Linked DNA regions of Alligator mississippiensis. The protein of the gene in region 1 interacts with the protein of each later gene in a pairwise test. Links are inferred from orthologs where the notes say so. Each region holds a gene or a part of one and is shown on either strand. Other genes may lie near its edges. The genes, in order: FKBP8 and ZFYVE27.

What was found.
Region 2: the proteins of FKBP8 (region 1) and ZFYVE27 interact in binary tests that used the Homo sapiens proteins (3 or more experiments, as listed by UniProt). The link is inferred for Alligator mississippiensis from reciprocal best matches to the Homo sapiens genes FKBP8 and ZFYVE27.

The regions. Positions count from the first base shown.
Region 1 is NC_081839.1:1,088,108-1,091,998, reverse strand, and holds the start of FKBP8 (peptidyl-prolyl cis-trans isomerase FKBP8), read left to right. Parts: upstream 1-1,180; 5' UTR 1,181-1,195; coding exon 1,196-1,274; intron 1,275-1,356; exon of another isoform or gene 1,357-1,671; intron 1,672-1,996; coding exon 1,997-2,311; intron 2,312-2,434; coding exon 2,435-2,604; intron 2,605-3,056; coding exon 3,057-3,145; intron 3,146-3,695; coding exon 3,696-3,891. Other genes in the region: KXD1 (kxDL motif-containing protein 1), read right to left, coding at 486-598, 713-1,015. UniProt on the Homo sapiens protein: Constitutively inactive PPiase, which becomes active when bound to calmodulin and calcium. Seems to act as a chaperone for BCL2, targets it to the mitochondria and modulates its phosphorylation state.
Region 2 is NC_081829.1:100,729,618-100,733,508, forward strand, and holds the start of ZFYVE27 (protrudin), read left to right. Parts: upstream 1-1,135; 5' UTR 1,136-1,150; coding exon 1,151-1,350; intron 1,351-1,434; coding exon 1,435-1,505; intron 1,506-1,620; coding exon 1,621-1,807; intron 1,808-1,885; coding exon 1,886-1,981; intron 1,982-2,347; coding exon 2,348-2,460; intron 2,461-2,828; coding exon 2,829-2,977; intron 2,978-3,232; coding exon 3,233-3,304; intron 3,305-3,542; coding exon 3,543-3,563; intron 3,564-3,800; coding exon 3,801-3,891. UniProt on the Homo sapiens protein: Key regulator of RAB11-dependent vesicular trafficking during neurite extension through polarized membrane transport. Promotes axonal elongation and contributes to the establishment of neuronal cell polarity.

The DNA.
Region 1 (3,891 bases):
CAACGGTCCGTCCCGTCCTCGAACCGGCGCTGAAACTCTGACGGCTGCGTTTCTGCCTGACGAGCCACGTACACGGGTTCGTGCCCCAAGAAACCATCGTTGCTCTCGGTCTGCAGGTCTCAGAACGAGATCGCAGCCCAAACTAGCTTCTAGCGAGGGGGGAAGTTACCAGAAAAATGGGAAAAAAAACCAGAAGAAGTAAGAAGGGGGAGAAACAAAGGCCGGAGACAAGCCAGCGTAACGAGGCGAGGCAGACACCTAAAGTCCTGATTTTGCCCTACAGCGACGGGGGCGAGTCACGGCCCCGCCGAGCGCTGCCCTGCTTGTCCCCCGCCGCCTCCCGCCCTCCCCGCCCGGGGCTGCCTCCGCCCGCCCGGACTGAACGAGGCCTCGAAGGTGCGTCCTCGGGGCGCGGGGCGGGCGCTGCCCCGGCGGGGGCTCCTACCTCCCTGGAGCAGGCAGGGGCGCCCCCCCCCGGCACTCACATGTTCTTCTGGGCCAGGATGATGGCGTTGACGTCCTCCGCGTTCACCATGCTGAGCACCCGGCTGCAGAACACGTCGGAGGCCGTGGGCTCCATCGCCCCGTCGGCGGCCGCCTGGGGACACGCGGGGGGCCGGGGAGGCGTCACGGGGCAGCCCCCCACGGCAAAGCACCCGCCCCTTTGCCCCCCCCCAACCCGGGCCTTGCCCCTCCCCTCCTGCGGGCGCACCTGTCCAGCCCCGCGGCCTTCACATGGCGGCGCCCGGCACGGGGGTAGCTCGTGGGGGCCCGGGGCTGGAGCCGCACTTCCGGGATCAGGGGTCACGCCTGCGTGACCTCGGACGTCAGCGCGCCGCGCCACGCCGCACGGGGCCGCCCCTGCAGGCGGCGCTCTAGCCCGCGGTCCTCCCGACTCGCGTCCCCCGCGGGGGCGTGGCGGAAGGTAGCGAGACACCACCAGGAGGCGGGGCTTCACGCGTGTCCAGCGCCGCGGGGCGTGGGCGGCCGCGGGTTGGGGGGGGGAGGGGGGCATTAAAGCGGCATAGAGACGTGGAACAACGAATCATGGGGTGGGGGGGCGTGGGGTCCTCTCGCGGCTCCGGAACCAGCTGGGTCTCGCACCTGTTGCTGCCCCATGAGCGGCGACGGCCCCTTTAAGGCGGCTCCACCCACCCACCCCCCCTTCCCTCGTGACAGTGTCCCCCGCCCGCCAATGGCAGCCGCGCTCTGGGATCAGCTGAGCCAATGGGAGGAGAAGGGGGCGGGGCCCGAGCAGCTGACTGCCGGGACCGGTGGGTGCTGGGGGTCGCGGCGCACGTGGCCGGGGGAGGGGCTGCGGGCCGGGGCCGGGGCCGGGGGCGCTGGCAGGGGACCCCCTCCCCCCACGGGAACCTGCCCCAGAAGCGCCCGGGGGCCGGGGCTGCCCCGGGGGGGCCCAGCCAGGTCGGGGAGGGGGGTGCAGGGGAGCCCCCCCCCTGCCACCGGTCCCTCCCAAACCGGTCTGCTGCTTGCTCACGCCCCCCTTCCCGCCGCCTGCCCCGCGGGGGTCTCCTGCCCGGCAGCTGCATGGCGCCTTCCCGTTGCGCCGCATCGCAGCCTAAGCCGGAGCGGCGAGGGGTCCGGGCCTGGCGGGAGCTGCTCGTGCGCAGCTGGTGCCCGGCACGTTTTCCTTCTCGTGCTGCCGGGGCGGTGCGTGTGCCCCGTCGGACGCTGCCGGGCTCGGAGCCTCCTGGCTGTGGGGCGGGGGGTCGCTGGTCGCAGCCGGGGGGTCTCGACGGGTCCCCGAGCCTGGAGCGACGCTGCCTGCGCCAGCGCTTGGTGGAGTCGCTTCAACCTCCCAGTCGCTCGTGTTGCAATCGCGGCCCGCGCCGCTCCGGTCCGCGCTGCAGACTGAGAGGCAGCCAGGCGGGCTGAGAGCCGCGTGCCCTTGCTGCAGCCTGGCTCCGAACTCCAAGTTCTTCCCATCCCGCGCCTCGCTCCGACCTAACCCAACTCTCTCCTCCTGCCTCCCCAGGTCGCTCGTGCCGCGCAGCCATGGCTTCCGGAGGGGAGGAGCCGGCCAGCAGCCCCCTGGACTGGGCGGACGCCAGCCTGGACTGCTGCTCCCCCGACCAGGCCGAGGCCGGCGCCGCCATGCTGGACAGCAGGGAGGACTTCGAGGTGCTAGATGACGACGAGGAGGACCTGAGTGAACTCCCCCCTTTGGAAGATGTCGGGAAAGGGAAGGCGCCACCCGGCAAGGAGGGCGTCCAGGCCTCGGGGCCAGAGCCTGCTGGGGAGGGGGCGGGCGAGGAGCCACCGGCAGCTGAGGAGTGGCTGGACGTCTTGGGTGAGTGCCTTGTAGTGTGGGGCTCGCTCCTGAGCGAGGGTGTGAATGTGCGGGGATCAGGTGAGGGCAGGCGAGTGGCACGGGCATCTCGCTCACCCTCTCCTGCCTCCCCTCCGTGCCCAGGGAACGGCCTGCTCAAGAAGAAGACCCTGGTGCCCGGCCGGGGCATGGAGAGCCGGCCGAGCAAAGGCCAGGTCGTGACCGTGCGGCTCAGGGTGATGCTGGAGGATGGCAGCGTGGTGGAGGAGGACCCTGGCCTCACCTTCACCCTGGGAGACTGCGACGTCCTGCAGGTGAGCGCGGTGCCCTGCACGGAGCCTGGGGACGGCGCAGAGAGGGGTCTGCCGGGCAGGGCCTGGCCCAGGTGTCGGCGGCTCCCACCGCCCGGTTTGCTGCCATGGGAACACTGGAGCCCGTCCGCTGCCACGTCCAGTCTAATTGCCCACTGCCCCGACGCCTGGTGCTTCCTGCCCCGCAGCGCCCCTTGCCCTCCGCTGCTCCTGCTAAGAGAAGGGCTGCTGATGAAGGGACGTGAGGGCTCACACTCCCATTGCCGTCATGCCCTGTGCTGGGCTGTGGGGTCCCTCGTTTGTTGGCTGTCCCTGCAGTCTGGGAGCTGGGCCCTGAGCATGTCTTGGACCCCACTGCTTCTCAGCCTTCCCACCCCCACCATGGCTTCCCCCTGGGGCCTTCTGCTCCTGACGGGGCAGTGCCCCCCTAACCTCTCCCCTCTCGGCTCCTGCAGGCGCTAGACCTGTGCACACAGCTTTTGGAGATGGGAGAGACGGCCTTGATCACGTCTGATGCAAAGTACTGCTATGGCCCCCAGGGCAGGTGAGCACAGGGGCTGGCCGGGCCCTTCGTCCCTGCGGGGGCCTCGGGGTGGCGGGGCCAGGTGTGGCCCTGGATACCTGCATAGCTGCTGCGAGGAGGGATCTCCCCAGGGGCCTGTGGAGCGAGCGGCTGGTCTTGGTCTGTCCCGATTAGCCCCCTTGGCAGCTGGCCCAGGTGTGTGTGTGTGTGTGTGTGTGTGTGTGTGTGTGTGTGTGTGTGTGTCACGGGCCCGGCACTGCTTCACCTTTGTGGGGTGAGGTTTCTGCAGGCCGGCAGCACGGCAGAGCTGAGGGAGGCCTGCCTGCCGTGCTCCCGGTTCCATCGTGTGTCCAGAGGCACCGGTCTCCAGAGCTGTACAGTGACGCTAATGCCACGTGGCTCGTGCGTGGGCAGCTGCACGCGAGCGATACCAGGCGGAGGGCGGCTGTGCTTGAGACTGAGCTGCCGAATGGGCCTGAGTGGCCCGGGGGGTCTGCAGCCCCAGCTCGGCCTGCCTTGCCCTGCCCCGCGTTGCACAAGCGGCGTCAGCGTATCCCTTCCCTCCGTGCAGGAGCCCTGGCATCCCGCCCAACACCGCCCTCACTCTGGAGGTGGAGCTGCTGGCCGTGCAGGACGCCCCTGACCTGGAGCTGCTCGGCGGGAAGGCCAAGATCGACCTGGCCAACTGCAAGCGGGAGCGCGGGAACTTCTACTACCAGCAGGCCGACTACGTGCTGGCCATTAACTCCTATGACATTGCCCTCAGG
Region 2 (3,891 bases), on another chromosome or scaffold:
CTTATTTGAGCCGTTATACTTGGTGTGGGGGGTATGGGGGCTGCACTTAGCAGCATGGCACGAAGAAACCGCGCTCTGGGCCGTGCAGGACTCTGGTCAGGGGTGTCTGGGGCGTCCAGCGGTGCCACGGAGGCATGGCGCGGGGTGGCCAAGAAGGATTTCCACCTCTAATCCAGCCCCAAAACAGCTCCTTATTCAAGCCATTGCATTTAGTACAGTCGCTGGAGGGAGGAGGGGGGCTTTGCGCTGACAGCGTGGCAGAGCCAAACCGCGCTTCGGGCCGGACAGCGCTCTGGGAGCGTCGCGTGGGGTGGGGTGGGTGCCCCAACAAGGACTCCCATCTCTAACCCCAGCCCAAAAACCAGCTCCCTGTTCGAGTCGTACGGAGCACAGCAGCCGGGGGTGCCAGGGCACGCAAAACCAGGAAAGAGGCACGGCGTGGCGTGGCGTGGCGTGGCGTGGCGTGGCCCAAGAAGGATTCCTGTCTCTCATCCCAGCCTAAACTCCAGTTCTGTCTTCGGGCCCGCGTGCTGGGCGCGGCGTCGGGGCGGGTGTCTGGGGCCAGCCTGGCACGGCCACACCGCGCTTCGGGCGGCAGGTCTGCGGTGGGTCGGTCGGGCTGCTCGGGGCAGCCCCCAGGGAAGCCTGGGGCAGCCCAGGAAGGTTTGGCCCCATAATCCCATGCTATCCTGACCGGGTTTAGGGCTCTACTCGCCCCGGGGGTTGTTACCCTGCCCGGCTCCCTCTCTCCAGCGTGGACTTCATTAGTAACAAGCTTTTATTAAGTCTAGATTAGCTTTGGAAAAGGAGCCGACGACAGCCAGCCCGTGTGCCCGGGGAGGGTCCGCGCCGGGCGGGGGGGGCGCTGTCCCCCGGGGAGGAGGCTGCCCGCGAGCTCCAGCCGCGCCCGAGCCGCTTGCATGCCCCAAGGGGCGGAGCCTCCCGCCGGGCCCCGATTGGCTGCCGCGCGGCGAGTGGGCGGGGCCCCAGGCGCTGCCCGGAGGGAGGCTCCCACTTCCGTCCTGCCAGCCTGAGGGGGGCGCGGCGGCGCGCTGACGCCACGCGCGGGCGGAAGAAGCCCCCTCCTGCCGGAACCCGTTCCCTCTTCTGCCCTTCTCCGGCGGAAGTGACGCGCCAGGCGGAAGCGAGGATGCAGGCGGCGGAGCGCGAGGCGGAGGCGGGGGCGGGGGCGGGGGCGGCCGGGCCCGAGCCCCCCGCCGCGCCGCCCGCGCCGGCCCCCCCCGCGCCGCCGCCCTTCGACCTCTTCCGTCTCGTGACGCGGCGCCGCCGCCTGAGCCTCTACCTGGAGCCGCTGCGGGACGCGGCCCGCGCCGCCCGCGCGCTGCTGCGGTACGAGCCAGCAGGCCGGCCGGCCGGGGGCGGGGCGCTGACCCGGCCCCGCCCCCTAACCCCGCCCTCCCTCCGTGCCCGCAGGTGGCAGCAGCCGCTGTGCTCGCTCCTCGCCTGCCTCGGCCTCAACTTCCTGCTGCTCACACTCAGCCGAGGTGCGGGGCGGGGCGTCGTGCGGGGGGCGGGGCCGTGCCGTGGGGCGGGGCGGGGCGGGGCCGTGCCGTGCCGTGCGGCGCGGCGGGGCTGACGCGGGTGCGGGCCGGCCCGCAGCGGCGTGGTACGGGGTGTGCGCGGCGCTGGTGGCGCTGCCGGCGGCGCTGGGCTACCTGCAGGAGACGTGCCGCGTGCGCCGGCCGCCGCGCGAGCTGGCGCGCAGGAAGCACCACAGCGTGCGGCGCCAGGACCTGCCGCAGGCGCCGCTCTCGCGCTCCGAGGCCATCGCCGAGGTCAAGACCTTGTAAGTGGCGGCGCGGGGTCGGCGGCGGGGTCGGGCCCCGCTGGCGGCGGCCCCTCACGCGCCCTCCTCTCCCCGCAGCCTGATCCAGCTGGAGGCCTTCCTGAGCCACGTGTGCGGGCGCTGCGAGGCCGCCTACCGCGTGCTGCGCTGGGAGGACCGCGCCGCCTCCACCCAGTGAGTCGCCCCGCGGGTCGGGTCGGGGCGCCCGCTCCACACGGTGTTTCAGGCGTGCTCTCGCCCCTCGTTTCCTTGGGGTGAGCGAGGGAGCGCCCTGTCCGCAGACGCCAGCAGGACGAAACGCTTACGTGGCCGCGGGCGTCCTTTCGGCGGCCTGGGTGCCAGGTCGCTGTCTGCTGCAGCTGCCCGGCGCTCGCCTGCCTGCGGTCGTCGCTGGCCGGCCGCGCCGGAGACGCGCGGGGCTGCTCCGAGCCCTCCGAAAACCCGCAGCCTGCCGCAGGGTTGCAGCCCCCTGGCGGGGTTCGTGGGGGAGGCAGGGGCTGCAAGCGGGGGCTGCCCGGTGCTGACCCCCGCTCCCCCCAGGTTCTACGGCGCGCTGCTGGGCTCCATCTGCGTCCTGTACCTGCTGCCGCTCTGCTGGGTGCTCGCCCTGCTCAACAGCAGCCTCTTCCTGGGCAACGCCGAGTTCTACCAGGGTAGGAGCCCGGCTCGGGGCGAGGCCAGGGCCCGGCTGCCCGCGGGGAAGCTGCCTGGGCTGTTTGCAGCGGGGGGGCAGGACTGGGCCCGGCTGTGTCGCTGGCCCCCACCAGGGGGCAGCAGAGGTCCATGGTGGGGTGCAGAGCCAGTGGCAGTGCCCCCCCTCCCCCCCCCCGCCAGACACCCCCAGACCTTGTCCCCGTGCAGGGCAGTCCCGTGGCCTGGGGCCGCGCCAGGAGGCAAGGGTGGCAGTGCGGTGCCTGTGGTCCCTACCAGCCTGGGCCCGTAAAACACGGGGGCAGGTAGGGATCGTGGAGGGGGCTGCTGGGCACGGGACCCACCTGGCTCCGATTCCCTGTCCCCACAGTGGTGCTGGAGTTCAAGGCCACAGTGGAGCAGCAGCTGGGCATCAGGCCCATTGAGAGCCCCTCGACCTCACAGCCGGCTGAGATTGAGGCAGGTGCTGGGGCAGCTGCGCCCCTGCCGGATCGGACCCCCACACCCACCAGTGCCGAGGTGAGGGTGGAGAAGGGTGCAAGGTCATGTCCTGTTTGGGGACCCTTGTGCCACAGGACATCAGTGTCATCGCCGCCCCTCACCCCCGGGCCTGACCTTGGGTATGGTCCCTGCCCTTGACATGGTACATCTCTAGGGTCCTGATCCTGGGAGTCGGTCTAAACACTCCCCTCCCTGGCTCCGCATGGGTCCCATCTGCTCTGTGTCCTGGGGGCTGGGGCAGGGCTGGCCCTGGTGACGCCACCTGTTCCCCAGGACCTGACGCCTGGCAGCGTGGAGGAGGCAGAGGAGGCAGAGCCTGACGAGGAGTTCAAGGATGCCATTGAGGTGAGGGAGTGGGGTGGTAGGCTGCGTTAACACCAAGCAGCAGCTGATGCGCGCGCCAGGCGTGGGGGCTGGGGGTGCTGCACCTGCCTCCAGGTCTGGCAGCAGGCGATGCCAGGAGTGAGCTGGGCCCACAGCTGCTGCCTCAGGCAGGTGCATCCTGGTGCTGGGGGATGTGCTGGTGCCCACTGCTGCCCCACCCATCTCTGCCTTTCCTCTCTGACCCATGCTGCGGGAGCAGGAGAACCAGCTGCTGGGCCTGGTGAGTACCGCGGGGCCCTGCGTGCTCGGCCACAGCCCCGCGGTGCACTTGGGCTGGTCCCCTCCTCCTGCTCTGGCCCTGCAGGTGCATCTCATACATGGTGCCAGGCTGCCTCTGTGCCCTCCTGGCTCCAGGCAGCACTGGTTCTCCCCAGCCTCCGCCCCCTGGGTGGCACGTGGTGGGCAGGGCAGGGGCAGGCGGGAGTTCCCCATGGGCACTGTCTGGCCTGTCCCCAAGGAGCTGCTCTACCCCCAGGAGGACGACGAGAGTTCGCAGTGCTCGGTAGAGTTTGACCTCCCGGACAACGGCTTCCTGAGCAAGAACGAGG